Linked DNA regions of Caenorhabditis elegans. The protein of the gene in region 3 purifies or fractionates together with the protein of the main gene of each other region. This does not show direct contact. Each region holds a gene or a part of one and is shown on either strand. Other genes may lie near its edges.

Region 1 (7,877 bases), on a different chromosome or scaffold from region 3:
AAAGGGGAGTGGGAGAAGCTCAGGGCTCTGGCTCTTTGGGTCAATACCCACTCGTTGTCCAGTGTCTCTCGTATCCCCATGGAGATACATGTTGTTGTTCGGTTATTTAAATTGAAGGATAAGGGGTCTGGATTAGAGAAGAAGGGGGAAACGCAGTGATTATGAGATCTACTTCAAAGTTTACTTCGGAATATGATTTAGGATTGTGGGTTATTTCAAGCTGTTTTTAACTGATTTTTGAAAAAAAGTTAGGGATATTCACGGGTAAACAACAAGACAGTTTGGAAATTACTTTAAGGAAACAATTTTTTTCAAAAAAAAACCCCGAAAACTATTCAGAATACTGGCATATTCATAATAGTTTAAACAATTTCAAAAAAAAAAAAAAAAAAATATATATATATATATAATCGGGTTTTTCTTTGTAGCTCACCAATGTACCTCTCGAGTTGTTTTTAATAGTTTAAAGTTTTATTACACCGCACGAATCGAAAGTGAACAAAATTATTATAAAACAGTCAAAAATGAAGTAGAAATACAAATCAAAACAAAATTAAAGTTTGCTTGTCATTGGCTTCAAATACTTTTCAACATGAGGAAGATTTCTCTCATTGAGTGGGCTCATTTGAGCCCATTTGTACAGATTCTCATATACATGTCCATCACGGCGACCGAGTACCTGAAAATAATATTTTTGTCCCATTAGAATTCGGAATTCGGCAAAACTCACTGAACGAAGCTCTCGATCACAAATATCAAATGAGTCGACAATTGAAACAGCATTGCGGCGAGTTTTTCTCATTGAATCGTAGATTTGATGTCGAATTTGTTGGACATCCGATTCGGAAAGATATCCATTAGCTGTCAAATCAGCCGACATTTCAATAAGTTCATAAGAGAGATAGAGTTCAGCAAGTGTTGTAAGTACATCATGAACTGCTTCATCACTAACTTCCTGCACACTTTTCACGAAACCACGGGCGATAAACAACTTTGTATGAGCACGAGCAGCCTGAAATGGAATTTTGTTTAATTGAAAATGTTGTGAGTTTTGGAATTGATTGAATGGGGATCTTTTGTTATGCCCATTTTGGAATCACCACGAAAAACTGAACTAGCAATCGATTCCCTCCGCTCACTTTCGAACCAATCAGCGTCTTCGAACTTCGCAAATAGCTAATTGATCACCTTTTGGAGGAATTTCGAATAAAGATTCTTCGCCAACATCAGAAAAGTGTCATTTTTTATTTTGTTTCGTTTTTGAAATCCTGACTATTTAAAATATCCCCGGTGCTCAAAGGTTTATATCAGAATGTTACAAAATCTTGCATGAGCTATAAAAAACCTCATATTTGTAATCATCGAGTATAACTTTTACTCCCACGAAAATCATAAATTCTTGGCCTCAATTTTCTTTCCAGGTATACCCAGAGTTCTCACACTTTATCAAAAATAATACAAACCTTAGTCCAGTCAACTGAATGATTTGCAAAAGCATAATCTCTCTCGATTCCCTGTTTCTCTTCTTCAATCATTTGACGATAAGCATGCATTACACGATGACGTGCAATGTGCTCGAAGTGGCTGAGCATCTTTGCGAACTTATCTGGAATCATATAATGACAAAACACTTTTCATATTCATAACGAGGGTGTATGTTCTTTGATTTTTCAGTATTTAAGTTAGGTAAGAGAAACCCGAAAATTTGAAAATAAAAAACAAGGCGGCGAGTCGGAAAACGTTGAAATTTTGAAAATTATTATCCAATTGAACAAAAAATTATTGCAAACTTCAAAAAAGTATAAAAACCTTTGAACTTTTGTTTGTGAAAAAATTGGGAAATGTTCCAAATTTAAAAAAATTTCAGGTGACTTGTACATTTCTGTTTCCAGTTGTATTTCAAGAAAATCTTTAAAAATAAAATCTGTATCTTTTTCCCCAACACAAACCATTAGTCTCGGTAATGTCCGGTTTTACAAGATATGCAACCAATGGTGCCATTTCTTCTCCCTTTTCGGCTTTTGCCGCCGCTTTCATTAGGTACTTGGACAGCTGCAGTAGCATTACCATGTTTTCTCCTTCATATGTGCATGCACCAACCGAGCAAGCTGCAAAACCATTTTAATTGCACGTTTTGACATTTTACTCACTAATTAGATGTTTGACATATAGGATACAACGCCCACGAGTTTCTATAGACATAGAGAATAGTCAGAATATGTACAACTGTCTACGTAAGCTGATTAGATGTATATTTAGAAAATATGTCAAAATAATGTGGCTTTCTGATATGAAGACTTAGGAAAGTACGGGAAAAATTAAATTAAAAGTAACCAACCAAAAAAAGAAATATTGAAAATATCAAAAATTGATTTTTGGTCCAAAAAAAACAACTGTTTTCAAAAATTAATTGTTTTCGGTGAAACTCGAATTGGTTTAGGTGTTTAAAAAATCATTTTTATCAAAAGTTTTGACAATTTGCAAAATTGTCGAGAAGTTGTGTTTCTGTCAAAAAATTGACACCTAAAATTAAGCAGCAACTAACTATACAAAGTCGGTAAATAACTGGCATCCGAATATCCATGTCCACCACATGCTTGTCTTGCTTGATCAATTGATTGAGATGCTTGATGAGTTACAACTGCCTTGAGTCCACAGGAAAGAGCATGCAAATCAGCAAGAACATCAGAGTTTCCATGTGAAAGTTGTTTAATACAGTTTTCAGTCATTTGACGAACAGTTGCAGCTGCCGTGTTAAAAGCAAAACAACGAGCAAGTCCCGGGAAAATACGATACTGTTGAGTTTGATAATCGAGAATTTGAACTTCTTGTGTTCCTGGCTTAATCTCTCCTTGTCTACGAACAGCTGAATATCGAATTGAAATAGCCATTGCCATTGCAAGATAATATGCTTGATGATAAATCATTTCAGATCTCATATATAACATTGTAGTATATCCGACTTTTGGATGAGATGGAGCCGTGTAGAGCCCTTCTTTTGATACTTTACTGTGCTTCATAAGCATATTGCGTCTTGGAATACGGTAGTTGTCAAAGGCCAAAAATCCGTTATCGACACAGTTCACTCCCATTTTAGTTCCAATATCTCCAACACGTACTCCAGACATTACAGAATAGGAATTACGGTCACGAATTGGGACGAAGAATGGATGAAGCCCATAGTTTTTGGTGTCAATAATCAAGTTTGCAACAAGGACGACATGTGTACAACTGGTTCCAAGACCTCCAGGCCACCTGAAAAAATATATCTTTTAAATCGGCATTGCTTTGATTTTGTTAAAGAAAAAGCGACAATAATTTTGTAGTCGCCCAAAAAAATCTTTCTTCAAGTTGTATATTTGTATTATGTCTTAATTATTTATACTAGAACATTGCAAATTTTTTGGAGTTGAAGAGTTTTCAAAAATATGTTGAAACTTCTTTGTTTGGAAACTACGAAACATTTACACTTTTTTTTGTAATATTTTTCATAGTCTACAGTAAACTAAAATATTCAACAAATTCTTGATAATAAATACTTCTACGATATCAACTACCTACCATTTTGTGGCCGTTGTAGTTGGCGTATGAATGATAAATTCTTCCGTTAGCTTATCGTAAGTGGCTGTAGTTTCGATGGCTCCGAGATTGGTTCCTGTAAACTTTTGATGACATTGCAATTCCTATTTAGCGTACTATGAACTTTTGATTTTAAATATAGCTGTAAAAAATTGAGTTTTCAAAATTTCTAATTTCAAACTAGGTTCTGAAAAAGATAGTTTGCATTTCAAATTTTCTGGTACTTTGGTGTAGGTTCCCAAGTTTGACCCAAATCTTGCCAAACTTTCTTCCAAAATTTCTTGTATCATAAATCTAATATAAACAGCATCATAGATGAAGTTTTGCCAAAGTCCTGCCCAACGCTTGTTACCAAATTTTTGCCAAATTTTAGGCAAAAAGTTGGCGCGAAATGCCGAGGATGTAGGTACAAAAAACTAGACACCAAGCGATTGGTTAAAAAATATTTTTAAAATATTTACATTTGAACCCTGATTTGCTTGGCAATCATGATTACTTCGGAATTAGTTACTTGATTCTACCCGCTTAAAATAATAAAAAATATATACAAATTATTTTCCACTTTCAACTTTCCCACTCCATTTCCTAAATATGTCTTATCAAAATAATCATTAATCATTCAACAAATTCTAGCCATATTTCACGTGTCACAGATTACTTGCGAAACATGCATTTTCGGTGATAAAATGTTGCAATACCCTTTTCCGGAGGGGGAGACCCCCGGTTCTTATCAGTAATTTATAAGCAGGTGTTCTGCAGAAACTCTTCTTTGAACAGTGTAGCATGATCGAACGGATTACTTCACTTACCGTGTCCGAGTTCCGTTTGGGCATAAGTTCCAATGATCTTGCCCTGAAGTGCATCCATCAGCCACCACTCCTGAAAGTGCAATTGATTAATAGTTTAATTCGATAAATGATGGGTTTTTCAATACTTTAAAGTATGTTTCAAAGCTTTTTCAAACATTTTCCAAAGTCATTTAACATACAGTTTGCTCATCGTCGGCTTGATTTTGAATAGTTGGCACAAACATCAAGTTATGAAGAGCCAATGGAAATCCTTCAATGCCCATTACATCTCGAATGATAACCAACATATCGAGATTATTGGTGAAATCAGCAAACTCGCCCACAGATTCCATGAGGTTTTTCAGCTGAAATTTTAAGAACTAGACTATTGTTTAAAAATTCGGTGGAGATGCGCTTGTCAATGAAAAATTTTTTGATGACGTATTAAGAATTATAGAATTGCCAAAAATAGTTGAAAGACTCAACTATGTAAACATGAAGTACATATAACAATAGATTTTTTGGTGCTCTTAATAATAATTTGAGAATATCGAAAAAGCGTTTCTTCATTCAAAAATAGCTGGTTTTCCAGCCGAAGCAATTAGAAAATCGCTCAAAATTGCCAGACGATTGGAAATTTCTTACAAGTTATCAAACAAATTTTCCAACAATTTTAAATTTTTAGACAATTTTTGAGCGTTTTTCCATTTGTTTCATCTAAAATTTAAGCTATTATCAAATAAAGAAAACATTTTCTATATTCTTTCTACATTTAACTTGGCAATTGCCGTCGGCTTAAAATAAAGTGCCAATTTCTAACCTTCCTGCTGACATCCTCCATTCTCTCGGCTCTTGTCCTATGAGCACCTGGAAGAGCATCAAATAAATGCCACCGCTTGGTTACTTCATCTCTCAATTCTCGAATTCTTTTCAGTGCATCTTCTCCTCCATGGAACACGGCGGCAAGAGCATCAGTATCGAATGTTCTACAAATATCTCAAACTTTAATTAGTGACGTTTAGTTATGTACTATCAAATTTGATATTGTTTAAGCCATCCACGTCATTTTCATTGAATTAATCGTAAATAAACTTGACGACTGATAAAATTGAAAAATAAAAAAGTTATTACCATTGAAATGACGAGTTCTAATTTTTTGAACCAGGTTTGCTAAAATAAATAGGAAAAACCATAATTTGCAGAGTAAAGAATGATATGGTTAATTACCGAATTGAGAAAAAAACAAAAGTGGTGAAACTTCGAATTGGAAATTATGGGAATTTCCTCGAAACTGCGAGCAAAAAGGCAAAGTGGCAAGTGCAGCTTGGCACTCATCCTTTGAGACAGTTTTTGAGCAACGTCTCTAAGCTTCAACTCTCATAAAATTAGATTTCAGAAAGTTAAAATATTTTGCTACATTTCTACATAAATATTCAATAAAAATTTTGGCTCAACAATAAGAAAAGGAGATTTATGGAGCCTCGAAAATCTCAGGTTGAAATGATGACATTATGAAATTTAAAATTTAATAGTAACATTAGGAATTATTTTCAGCAAATATAATCCCTTTAAGGATATTTTTTAAAAGTTACGCTTTAAATCTTTCATCAGTCAAATCTTGATTGTCTCCATCTTGAATCAACTTATTCAGCGGCATCTCTTTTTTCTGTAACACGAATAAACTGATTAGTGTGTTTCAAACTGGAAAGTGAATGAAGACAAAAAGAAGATAGCGATAAATCATGCTCTCTTCTATCAGTATTTATAGAGCGGAAAACCCATCGAGAGAATTGGAAAACCCGGAGATGAACAGAGCACAATGAGAATGGAAGGAGGTGACGTAGTTGGGTATAGAGAGTTGGAAACAGCATTAGAGATGAGAAGAACATGGGAATAGGAAACATGAAAAATGTGGTCAAAGATTAAAAAATTAGACGTCCATGAAATACAGTTTATTCCTATTTGCACACTACATCGTGTTGCGTTATTTTTGAATGACTGATTTTTAATAATTTCTTGAACTGTAGTCCCTGAAATTTTTATAAAATAAAACAATTGGAGCTCTGAAAAATTCCAACCTGTTAAACTATGGTAGATAGTATTATATATCTACTCTAATTTTCTTTCTTTGAAATTTTATGGGTGACAACTGCCGCTCGGCTTAATTATTTTCGACAAATTCAAATTGCCAAAAATTTCCAATTTCCGAAAATATTGAAAAAGAATTTTCATAACAAAAAACACTTACAACTCTATTTTTATAAATATATTTTATCAAATTTCCTTACTTTTTTTCGGTTCTCCTAGGACCGGTAATTTCTAGAAATATGAGGCGTTGCATTTGTAGTTTGAAGATTAAAATTTTAAAAATTTTGAAATTTCCAAAATATTTCAAAACTAGAATTTACCGAAAATGCTCAATTTTGTCCGTACTTTGTAATTTGTGTTGTACTCTAACCCGCATTGAGCAGGATTAATTTAAAATTTCCATCGACAAGTGTACTATATTGAAAAAAATTGATATATATGTTTTTCTTACTATATATTTTTATTTTCTGCTTCCTCATTAATATTTCTATTTCTTAATCAATTTCAGTTAGTAAAGATTTATTCAAATTAATGAAGCATACTGGGTGCAGCAATAAGAGTAATACAAATGGCGATAAAGAATCCAGAAAGTACAAGGGACACCCAAAAAGAAACAGTATAAAATCGTGATGGTTTGGATCCACGGAATAAAATGAATGTGAACAGAATTCCGGCGACAAGGCCTCCAAGATGACCATACATTGACACCTGGAAAAATTAAACGATGACACGGAATCTTTTCAGATTTATAAATATATATATATATATAAACCCCTAATTAGGGGTTTTTTTTTTTGGAAAATTGACATTTGGTGGCTTTGCTCTAAAATATGAACCTAATTTGGAAGTTGGCTGGGCATGGCTTAAATGAATTCAAATTTTGCCTTACAAAGGTACCTTCTATTGTTAAGCACCTAACAAATGTTTACTCTAAGAAGCTTAAAGAATTGATACTTCCTATTATTCCGTCTCTTCTTCTGCCTTATCTATGAATCACTCCAAAAGTTGCAAACAAAAATTCTTATAATTCTCAAATCGAAACTTTTTGCGAAATACGTGAGTTCTAGAACTAATTCCCCATAGTGTAGTACCCCGGAATTCGGAACAAGCTTTGTTCCGTTTTCTGCGTTTTTCGGATTTATCATTTCCTTTTCGAGTATGACATTGATTTATCTATTCAGTTTTGTGAGAACATTTTGTTATCAAAGTTTTCTATTTTCAAAAGATGAACTATGCATCATACTCACCATCACTTTACTTTGAAAGGTTATATCTCTGTTCATTTCGAAGTTATCAATAAATAATCAACTACAAATCGATAGAAAAAGAAATAATAAATATGTTGTCAGTTGACAGTTTTTGTATAAAACAAACGACAACTGAGATATGAGCTGTCAAAGTTGAACAATTAAATGCAACACT
Region 2 (6,416 bases), on a different chromosome or scaffold from region 3:
ATGGCTGACTTACATGCATTGACTTCTGGTTTAAAATCAGTTGTTACTCATCAAACTGGAGAAGGTATCGAACAAGCGAGAATGGCTTGTGGTGGGCATGGATATTCTATGGTAGGAATGTTATAATTGAAATTGCAAATTCTAAAGGAATGTTTCAGGCTAGTTACATCTCTGAAATCTACGGAGTTGCAATTGGAGGATGCACGTATGAAGGAGAAAATATGGTTATGCTTCTTCAACTCGCTCGTTACCTCGTCAAATCCGCTGCCCTTGTGAAGTCCGGAAAAGCTTCTCAGCTTGGACCACTGGTAGCCTACTTGGGCGCCAGAAGTGAGCCAACTAGCCTGATAGATAGAGTTCCAAATGGTGGAATCACGGAATACATCAAGACATTCCAACATATCGCAAAGAGACAGACGTTGAAGGCTGCCAACAAGTTCTTCGGATTAATGGAGAATGGAGAAAAGAGAGAAATCGCCTGGAACAAGTCATCCGTGGAGTTGAATAGGGTATGTTTGACTTATGCTTGTGATTTTTGAGAATACGAGTGATGGTACATTGTGGCCTTGATGTCCATTTGCCCATTTCCTTGCAGAAAATGCAAAACCTGCAAAACTTTAGATGCACTTTTGAGCTTGTTTATCAATATTTGTCAACAATCATTGAATTCTTATCAGTTGTCCCTGCAACCTTACTAGGAAAATTAGTTCAAACACCAAAATGTTGGAAAAGTGCATTTGCTATGTAGCAAAAACTGGTGAAATCTGGTAGAATTTTGTAAATCCGAAACCTTTTTTGGGCTCTATATTAGGGTGCATACTAGATACCAGAGCCGTATTTAAAGTTAAAGATGACTAAAGATTCTGAACACACTAGCTTAAGACATTGTAACAAAAGCGACACTCTTAAAATTAAAAGTCCGAAAAGTATATATTTCTAGGCGAGTCGCCTCCACACCCGCCTCTTCATCGTCGAAGCCTTTGCCAGACGAGTCAACGAAATCGGAGATATCACCATCAAAGAGGCTCTCAGCGATCTCCTCCATCTTCACGTCAACTATGAACTTTTGGATGTTGCCACGTATGCACTGGAAGATGGATTCATGTCATCCACTCAGTTGGATTATGTCAGAGATCAATTGTACTTCTATCTCCAGAAAATTCGACCAAACGCAGTTTCATTGCTAGATTCCTGGGAGTTTAGTGATAGAGAGCTGAGATCTGTAAGTTCCAAAGCTAATGGGTTCTAAAATTAAATAACTGAAATTTCAGGTCCTAGGCCGCCGTGATGGTCATGTCTACGAGAACCTTTTCAAGTGGGCAAAGGAAAGTCCGTTGAACAAGACAGATGTTCTTCCGTCAGTGGATACATATTTGAAGCCAATGATGGAAAAAGCCAGGCAGAGCAAGCTATAATTCTAATTTATATTTTTGATTTTTTTTTCTCTTGCATACTCTTTGCTTATACTGTTAAATATTTGAAAATGCAAACATTGCACTTATAAATAGTACAGGCCAATAATCACAACTCCGCCCATCACTCCTTTTATACCCTTTCCATCAGTTCATCCATCCATTCTTCTTTTTTGTTGATATCAGTAACATGGCGAACCGATCAATTCGTGATGGAGATAACCCCGAATTGCTGGAAGAACGGAGGATGGCAACTTTTGATACGGATAAGATGGCAGCGGTGATCTATGGAAGTGAAGAGGTAAGGACTGCAAACTACAAACTATTGATTACAAGCTTTATTAGGCTAATAGAAAATCAGATTATACATAATTTTAGTATGAATCAAGAGTTATCAAAGCTGAAATTTTATAATGTTTTAAAGCACAATGGAATGTATACATACATGTTCTTGAAAAATATTGTATACCTTAAGTGGAGACCATGTATGTTTCGCACCGTATAACTTAATCAGTTAGAACGACATGTTCCACCACGTGGCATTGAACAATAAAATCCCTGTAATTCCACAAAAATCAATTTTCGTCGTTTTCCCTTTGTCGGAAAAATTTTTTTTATTAGGTAAGATTAGATAGCCACTATTTTTTCTGAGAGATAGAGACCATAAAACGAAATACATATTCTGTCAATCAGCAGGAAAGTGCAAAAGTCAATGTTTCTAGTAGTGTGTAAAGGTTTCAGCAAACCATGAACATACATATGTATCAAGATTTTGGACAGTAAAGAAACAGGGAAATGAACTATCATAGTTTATGAGGGAAATTATCCCCGTCGATGCACCATGTTTCGAATGATTCAAACTTTGGTGCCTCACTTTGGTTGATTGCATTTTTTTTTGAAATAATTAATTGTCAACTTATTAAATGAAAAAAAAACTGTCTTAATACATAGAAAATTATTTGTTCAGTTCGCTCGTCGCCGTCGTGAGATCACCGACGCCGTGTCCAAGATCCCTGAGCTCGCCGACATCAAGCCCTATCCATTTTTGACTCGAGAGGAGAAGGTGACCGAGGGCACCAGAAAAATATCGATTTTGACAAAATATCTGAATCAGCTGATTGATAGAGATAATGAAGAAGAAAGTTTGCACCTGCATCGGTAAGGATTTTCTTTTCAAATTCAGTGTGATTTGGTAGATCTCACTTAATTGTCTCATACGTCGGTTTTATTTAGGTTTATAGAAAATTTGTTAACTGGTACAGTATTGTTTATCTGCTTGCTTGCAACTTTGTTCTGAAGTATATGCTAGCGCCTACCGATTTCCGTCAAGAGCTTCCATGAAAAATTTTGAAAAAATAAACCTCAAATGTTTGCCACTTTTCCTTTAAACTTTTCTCACAATCAGGTAAATTCCCACTTTCCAGAGAAGTGATTGGCTACGAGGGTCATCCCTTCGCTCTCCATGACGCTTTGTTTATTCCAACCCTTCAGTCACAGGCTAGTGATGAACAGCAGGAGAAATGGCTCGAGAGAGCTCGGCGACGAGAGATCATTGGATGTTATGCGCAAACTGAGCTCGGTCACGGCTCAAATCTTAGGAATCTTGAAACAACTGCAGTCTATGACATTGCTTCCCAGGAGTTTGTACTACATACTCCTACGACAACGGCGTTGAAGTGGTGGCCTGGAGCACTTGGGAAGAGCTGTAACTATGCATTGGTTGTAGCTGAACTGATTATAAAGAGAAATAACTATGGCCCCCACTTTTTTATGGTGCAGCTGAGAGATGAAAAAACCCATATTCCACTAAAAGGCGTTACCGTAGGAGATATCGGGCCTAAAATGAACTTCAATGCGGCGGATAATGGGTACCTTGGGTTGAACAACTTGAGAGTTCCACGAACAAATCTTTTGATGAGACATTGCAAAGTAGAGGCGGATGGGACGTATGTGAAGCCACCGCATGCAAAGATCGGGTACTCTGGAATGGTGAAGATCAGAAGTCAGATGGCTATGGAGCAGGGGTTGTTTTTAGCACATGCATTGACAATTGCAGCGAGGTATTCGGCAGTGAGGAGGCAAGGACATTTGGATGATAAGTGAGTTGAACAGTGGTTTTTATTGGACATAAAGTACCACAACTATTCAAATGTTATTTGCTCTATCTAGGAAACGTTTTTTGTCTTCAGATTTATCTTTAACCTACAGGGATCTCTGGAAAATTTGGAGCAAGTTGTGTAATTTTGTAAAAAATTAAAATTGCAATGGTCACTGTCAAAAGGTAGCATAGCATGTAAACGTATTCACCTTTTTTTTCAGATTTTTTCGACAACCAAAAATTCTGAATTCACTTTGAAATTTGAACTAAAATCCGATGCCCAATTAATCGTTAACCTTCAATTCTACCACCCAGAAATTCCAGGCAAGTCGAAGTAAAAGTCCTTGACTACCAGACCCAGCAGCATCGTCTATTCCCATCATTAGCCCGTGCGTATGCATTTATATTCACTGGATTTGAGACAATTCACTTATATTCTCAATTATTAAAAGATGTTGATATGGGTAATACATCTGGAATGGCTGATTTACATGCATTGACTTCTGGTTTAAAATCAGTTGTTGCTCATGAAACTGGAGAAGGTATTGAACAGGCGAGGATGGCTTGTGGTGGACATGGATACTCTATGGTAGGTTTTGAAAATCAAGTAAAAAAGAAAAAGCATTTTATGGAGTTGTTTCAGGCTAGTTATATATCTGTCGTATATGGGATTGCTATTGGCGGATGCACTTATGAAGGGGAGAACATGGTGATGCTCCTGCAACTTGCACGGTATTTAGTGAAATCCGTGGAACTTATCAAGGCCGGTAAAGCTAAGAAATTAGGACCAGTGGCATCATATCTAGCAGACAAGAGTGATGAAACTGATCTAACCAGCCTGAATGGATATGTAAAGATGTTCGAGAACATGGCTAGAAGGCAGGCTTGGAAAGCAACAGAGAAATTCTTGAAATTGATGGAAAGTGGGGAATCAAGAGAAGTGGCATGGAATAAATCAGCAGTGGAGTTGACTAGAGTAAGTTTATCTACAACATTTACCACTATTGAGTTCCAAAAGCTCTGATGTGGTTTTTTTCGTGGTTCAAAAATATACAATAGAAATCTAGATCCAAACTATGTCGTTCAGTTGTTTGCCCAATTTTCGAAGATACACAAAGAAAGGCCTGTAGACATATCATTATTATTATAAGTTATTAAAACTAAAAAATATCCCAATAAAAAAATGCGGTAATTTATATGCCAAGGTCAGTTTTTTTGATTGAACTGGAAGCTTCTGGACCCTAGAAAATTTTTGTAATTAAATTCTGAAAGCCCTTAAAATTTGAAACAAGTCCCCGAAGAAACATTTTCAAAAAAGTTCATTTTAAGGCAATTTTTAAAGTTATGAAAACTACATAAATTCTCCCAAAAAAAATGCGCCTAAAATTTGAAAAAAATCTGGAAAGTGCTAAAATTTTCTGAAAAGATCTGGAAAAGTCTAGAATTTTTTAAAATAAAAGTTGGAAAGTTTTAGAATTTTCTTGAAAGTCCGCAAAACTTCAGGAAATTGTGTAACTGTACAAAAATGTTACATGAGCAATTTAAAATTTATTAGAACAATTTAGCGTTCGCCAGTACGCAAATTGTGCATGCGAACGACTGGTTGTATATAATTTGTATTGCTACTAGGAAATAATATCTGGCAAGCATAGTTATGTAAATTAAAACACACAGTTAACAAAAGTGCAACAGATAGTAACCACCTTATCATTTAAATGCAACCTTCATTGGTTTGAAGAAATGTTTTGGTTTTTGAACCAAATTCTTAAAAAGGGTGTGCAAATACTGATACTTTAAAAAAAATTAGAATGTTGCAATGTATACCCAGAAATATCAATTTTTACACCCAGCAATTTCAGGCTAGCCGTCTACACACCCGTCTATTCATAATCGAAGCTTTTATGAGAAGAGTGTCTCGAATTGAAGATATTCCAGTGAAAGAGGTTCTAACAGATCTTCTCCATCTTCATGTCAACTATGAACTATTGGATGTTGCCACGTATGCACTGGAATTCATGTCATTCACTCAGTTGGATTATGTTAGAGATCAACTATATTTGTATCTGGAGAAGATTCGACCAAATGCAGTATCTCTAGTTGACTCTTTTCAGATTAGTGATATGCAATTGAGATCTGTAAGTATTTTGGGACAATGTAGTTATGAAACACAGAGGTTTTAGGTCCTTGGCCGCCGGGATGGTCACGTCTACGAGAATCTCTTCAAATGGGCAAAGTCAAGTCCCTTGAACAACGCAGATGTTCTACCGTCAGTCGAGAAGTACTTAAAGCCTATGATGGAAAAGGCGAAGCTTTAACTTTTTAATTTTTCTTATATTACTTTTAAAAAATAAATACGTCAACAGACTAAAGAGAGCAACAAATACAAACTATTCAAAATCATCACAGACCAACTGATGTATACATATGTGATAAGAAATTGATAAATATTGGCAACATTTTTCAGAATGCAAACAATTATTGTTGCACTTTAATAATGATGATTTTTTTTCTTAAATTACACTTTTTACAATTTTTTGTATATAACAGTTAGTTAATTGGTTCTTACAGTCCTCATTGAGGATTTTATGGCATTGTTCTAGTTCTACCTGAATTTGGAAAATTTTTCAAATATTCTATCTCATATGTTGTGTTATAAAATCAAATATTATAAAAACGAAACTCCTGCAAATGTAATGTATTCCTTTAAGTTTTCCGATTTTCAGACTGTACAATGAGCTCAATTTGCAAAGGAGATAACTCAGATCTCACAGAAGAACGAAAGAATGCGACTTTTGATACGGATAAGATGGCTGCCGTGATATATGGACGTGAAGAGGTAAGGGGGGCAAATAGACTACAAATTACAGGCAGCAAAAGGCCAAATGGCGTATGAAAATGCCGTAGAC
Region 3 (4,899 bases):
GTGTCGGTCTCGCAGCGATGAAATTGTTGACCAAATTTTGCAATGTTTTCACCAAAAACTACGGTACCCGGTCTCGAAACGACAAATACTGTAACTTTAAACTTTCGTTGACGCGGATTTTTTATCGATTTTTTTTTTAATTTTGTGTTTTTATTGTTATATTTGAGTTGTTTTCATCGAAAAAATATAAAAAATCGATAAAAACTCCACAGCGACAAAAGTTTGCAACTACAGTACTCTTTAAAGGCGCACATATTTTCGCAATAGATAAAAAACTGTCGTTTCGAGACCCGATACCGTAATTTTGGCGCGAAAATTGCTTTTACAGTCTAACTTAAGTTTTCATCTTTAAAAATTGACTGAAACAAAAAATTTTCCAGATTTTCTTCAAACAGGAAAATGATGACGTCACGTGGCCAATTTTCTGCCTGATAAAACGCTATTTAATTTCCGGCTTTTTTGATTTATGTGCACATAAAATTTCTTATCATCAAAAACCAGAAGAAATACAAAAAAAAGAGTTTATAAATAACGAGATTCTATATACAAAAGTTTGAATATCAAACAATTTAATGCTTCTTCTGGCAGAGCTGATGGCGAAGAGCATTTCCGAAATCCGGATGAACTTTCGTGAACTCTTTGACCATTCCATTTTGAATTTCCTCCAAACAGCCACCCAAATCACTAGCCAAATTCCCAACGAGCCGATCTCTCTCCTCCTCCTTGAGCACTTTCTCCCAGAACTGACGTGGCTGCTCGTAGTTGTGATCGTCTCCAGTCTCATAACGATCAACATCTCCAGTCGTCTGAAATGTCGACTCCTTCACATCATCACGAGTACGGTATCCGCGGAAACTGTTCGGGAAGTAATTCGGCGCATCTCCCTGGCTTTCATAAGCCATTGCACCATCGCGTTGAGTGGTATGAGCACGGGAGCGGTACGGGCAGTTGACTGGAAGCTGAATGTAGTTTGGTCCAAGGCGATGGTAATGCGTGTCCGTGTAGGAGAAGATACGCCCTTGGAGCATCTTGTCTGGCGAGAACTCGATTCCTGGGACGATGTGGGCCGGGCAGAAGGCGGCTTGTTCGACCTGAAAACCAAAATAAAAAATATTTTTACTCCACCTTTAAAGCTAGACGTAAAATGCAATTTTTATTGTTCCTATTAGGTCTCCAAATAAGTTCCGGGTCAAAAATCAGAACTTTTTTTGCCTTTTATAGATTTTTTTGAAACTTTGGGAATTTATGTTATCAACTATGACCTTTCATTTTGAAATGGTCACAAAATTTTTTGACCACCCGGAGCGCCCTAACTCGGAGCCATTTTTTTCAGGCATTTTTCAGATCTCGCTTCTTTTCAGGTTTCAATTGAGGTTTGTGTGCGGATTTTGCTTAGTTTAGTACACAATGTAAGAAAACAAAAAAAGTTTGGAAAAAATCCGTCCAAAAAAATTTTTTTTGTCGGTCGTCAAAAAATCTTCAAAAAAATTTTTTTTCGAAAATTCTCGATTTTTTATACAAGAATGATGTAACCATGTGCAAACTATTTTTACACATACAAAACATTTGAGTATGAAATTTGGATCTCGAGAAATACTCCAAGAACTCGAAAATTTTTCGAAAAAGCTGTGTTTTCTGTTATTGTTTTAGTGTGACGCAATAAATTGAAATGTTTTGTATGTGTAAAAATAGTTTGCACATGGTTACATCATTTTTGTATAAAAAATCGAGAATTTTCGAAAAAAAAATTTTTTGAAGATTTTTTGACGACCGACAAAAAAAATTTTTTTGGACGGATTTTTTCCAAACTTTTTGTTTTCTTACATTGTGTACTAAACTAAGCAAAATCCGCACACAAACCTCAATTGAAACCTGAAAAGAAGCGAGATCTGAAAAATGCCTGAAAAAATTGGCTCCGAGTTAGGGCACTTCGGACGGCCAAAAAATTTTGTGACTATTGTCAAATGAAAGATCATAGTTGATAACGTAAATTCCTACAGTTTCATAAAAATCGATACACAGCGAACAAAGTTATGATTTTTGACCCGGAACTTATTTGGAGACCTAATATTAAAAAAAACTAATTCATCTTCACACCACTTGCCTCAGCGAAATAATTCTTCACATTCCTGTTCAGCACCATCTTGCCGACCTCGATCAGTGGGTAATCACCGTGTGGCCAAACTTTAGTGACATCAAATGGATTGAACTCCCATTTCTCAGCTTGTTCGAATGTCATCACTTGAATGAACATCTTCCATTCCGGGAAATTTCTTGACTCAATGGCATTGAACAGGTCGCGGATCGCATAGTCTGGATCCGAAGAGGCGAGCTTTCCAGCGTCAGTTGGATCGAGATTCTTGGAACCTTGAGCAGGCTGAAAAATAGAAAATGAAAATTTAATTCTAGTCCCCGTCTCTCTTAGGCTTACCTTGAAATGGAATTTACAATAAATCGGATTTCCCTCCTTGTTGACCATCTTGAAAGTATGCGCTCCGTATCCATTCATAAAACGGAATCCATCAGGAATTCCACGATCCGAGTAGAGGAACATCACCTGATGAATGGATTCAGGGCGATTCATCCAGAAATCGAAGAGCGCATTCGGATCCCTCATGTGAGTCTGTGGATTGCGCTTCAGGGCATGAATGAAATTCGGAAAGTGGATTGCGTCACGAATGAAGAAGATCGGAGTGTTATTTCCAACCAGATCCCAGTTACCCTCCTCGGTATAGAATTTGAGAGAGAATCCACGTGGATCGCGGACAGTATCAGCGGATCCCGATTCTCCAGCGACCGTTGAAAAACGAACGAGAAGTGGTGTCTGTTTTCCGACCTTGTTGAACATATCGGCCTTACAGTACTTGGTGATGTCATGGGTGACCTCGAAGTATCCATGGGCTCCGGCTCCCTTGGCATGAACGACACGCTCGGGGATACGTTCACGATCGAAATGAGCCATCTCATCCATATAAACTACATCTTGCATGAGCATTGGGCCACGCCGCCCGGCGGTGAGCACGGCGGTCTTCGAGTAGATCGGAGCTCCATTTGAAGTTGTGATCACTTGGGGTTTCTGAAACAAGTTACTGTAAATAGTAGTTGTTGTTGTAGAAAATGCGTCTGTGCCTTTAAACTCTAAACTCACTGGATACGTCTCCTTGTAGGTTTTCAGTTGATTATCCGATGGATCGTTTGGCATTTTGGTTCTGAAATTTTAGTTAGGAAATTTAGAATTAAATAAAACTCTGAACAAAAAAATGACCACGACGAGGTGTAATACGGAATATGGGTTGGGAGAGACAAGAGAAACAGAGAAAAAAGAAAGAAGATTGTAGCGTTATCACTGATAAGGAACATGTTGTTGGACACCAGACTACGGCATAGTCTCGCTTATTTTGGACAGGCAAAAAAGTAGGGGGAAAGACAAAAATTAGGTAGGTATTGATTATGGGTCAGGGTATACGGGGAATGGATTGATCTACAAATCTACAGATCTACAAAAAATGCGGGAGAATAGACGCAGAGTTTTCAACTGATTTCGCATGGTTGAGAACGTGCTGACGTCACATTTTTCTGGACGAAAAATTCCCGCATTTTTCATAGATCAAAGCGTAATGGGACAACCTGGCACTACGTGGAAAAGTGGTACCTGTACGCAATTTGTCTACCGTATACCTGAACTTTTGGGCTTGTCGTTTTTATCAAAAACGAGTGGCCCAATATTTTTGTGATGTATATAAAAAATGTCCGAAAAAAATAAACTCTAAATTTTTTGGTCCAAAGCTTTTTTCTTATCTTGCGCCTAAACCTGGTTAAACTCAAATTATCAGTAGAGCGCATTTGCATGGATGTACCACTAGCCGGGCCGCGGGGTGTTGCTGTATGGTGCATATGTGCAAACACCATAACTTACGCGCAAATTTGACAAACTTACTGTCAAAAAGGCGCGCTATAAATAAGCAATATATTGACTATTTTGAATTTTAAAAACAAAAAATAATCCAAAGTTGTCCACGAGCAGTACACAGCGGCTTGTAGAAGTATTGCGCGTCAAATATGGTGCATCGAAAAATGATCATATTTTACGCTCAATTTTCACTTCTACCGAACTGATTATTGATGTTTTCCGGCGATTCTTATACTCCCAGTCGCGGTGCTCTGTACAAGAGATGATGACGTCACATGTTTATGATAAGCGATAAGGGAAACCCAAAAATAAAATAAAGTGTTGTGTCGGTCTCGCAGCGATGAAATTGTTGACCAAATTTTGCAATGTTTTCACCAAAAACTACGGTACCCGGTCTCGAAACGACAAATACTGTAACTTTAAACTTTCGTTGACGCGGATTTTTTATCGATTTTTTTTTTAATTTTGTGTTTTTATTGTTATATTTGAGTTGTTTTCATCGAAAAAATATAAAAAATCGATAAAAACTCCACAGCGACAAAAGTTTGCAACTACAGTACTCTTTAAAGGCGCACATATTTTCGCAATAGATAAAAAACTGTCGTTTCGAGACCCGATACCGTAATTTTGGCGCGAAAATTGCTTTTACAGTCTAACTTAAGTTTTCATCTTTAAAAATTGACTGAAACAAAAAATTTTCCAGATTTTCTTCAAACAGGAAAATGATGACGTCACGTGGCCAATTTTCTGCCTGATAAAACGCTATTTAATTTCCGGCTTTTTTGATTTATGTGCACATAAAATTTCTTATCATCAAAAACCAGAAGAAATACAAAAAAAAGAGTTTATAAATAACGAGATTCTATATACAAAAGTTTGAATATCAAACAATTTAATGCTTCTTCTGGCAGAGCTGATGGCGAAGAGCATTTCCGAAATCCGGATGAACTTTCGTGAACTCTTTGACCATTCCATTTTGAATTTCCTCC

What was found. Proteins that work in one complex are often made in the same cells at the same time.
Region 1: the proteins of ctl-1 (region 3) and acox-1.5 fractionate together in Caenorhabditis elegans (co-fractionation; one large-scale study listed by BioGRID). This does not show direct contact.
Region 2: the proteins of ctl-1 (region 3) and acox-1.2 fractionate together in Caenorhabditis elegans (co-fractionation; one large-scale study listed by BioGRID). This does not show direct contact.

The regions. Positions count from the first base shown.
Region 1 is NC_003281.10:9,586,160-9,594,036, forward strand, and holds acox-1.5 (putative acyl-coenzyme A oxidase acox-1.5), read right to left. Parts: upstream 6,034-7,877; 5' UTR 6,025-6,033; coding exon 5,960-6,024; intron 5,354-5,959; coding exon 5,188-5,353; intron 4,733-5,187; coding exon 4,568-4,732; intron 4,459-4,567; coding exon 4,389-4,458; intron 3,656-4,388; coding exon 3,562-3,655; intron 3,256-3,561; coding exon 2,546-3,255; intron 2,109-2,545; coding exon 1,950-2,108; intron 1,607-1,949; coding exon 1,464-1,606; intron 1,013-1,463; coding exon 731-1,012; intron 680-730; coding exon 554-679; 3' UTR 453-553; downstream 1-452. Other genes in the region: rom-2 (Inactive rhomboid-related protein 2), read right to left, coding at 6,984-7,163. UniProt on the Caenorhabditis elegans protein: Involved in the first step of peroxisomal beta-oxidation by catalyzing the desaturation of fatty acid-derived side chains.
Region 2 is NC_003279.8:12,940,706-12,947,121, forward strand, and holds acox-1.2 (Acyl-coenzyme A oxidase acox-1.2), read left to right. Parts: upstream 1-1,574; 5' UTR 1,575-1,602; coding exon 1,603-1,713; intron 1,714-2,379; coding exon 2,380-2,570; intron 2,571-2,836; coding exon 2,837-3,511; intron 3,512-3,834; coding exon 3,835-4,099; intron 4,100-4,153; coding exon 4,154-4,486; intron 4,487-5,369; coding exon 5,370-5,645; intron 5,646-5,690; coding exon 5,691-5,825; 3' UTR 5,826-5,883; downstream 5,884-6,416. Other genes in the region: Acyl-coenzyme A oxidase acox-1.1, read left to right, coding at 1-111, 159-509, 941-1,222, 1,272-1,415; Acyl-coenzyme A oxidase acox-1.3, read left to right, coding at 6,242-6,346. UniProt on the Caenorhabditis elegans protein: Involved in the first step of peroxisomal beta-oxidation by catalyzing the desaturation of fatty acid-derived side chains of ascaroside pheromones, which regulates development and behavior.
Region 3 is NC_003280.10:14,303,052-14,307,950, forward strand, and holds ctl-1 (Catalase-2), read right to left. Parts: upstream 3,210-4,899; 5' UTR 3,203-3,209; coding exon 3,149-3,202; intron 3,077-3,148; coding exon 2,432-3,076; intron 2,378-2,431; coding exon 2,105-2,377; intron 1,092-2,104; coding exon 570-1,091; 3' UTR 517-569; downstream 1-516. Other genes in the region: ctl-3 (Catalase), read right to left, coding at 4,803-4,899. UniProt on the Caenorhabditis elegans protein: Catalase involved in the oxidative stress response serving to protect cells from toxicity. For instance plays a role in defending against oxidative damage induced by excessive copper stress. Not required for maintaining normal lifespan.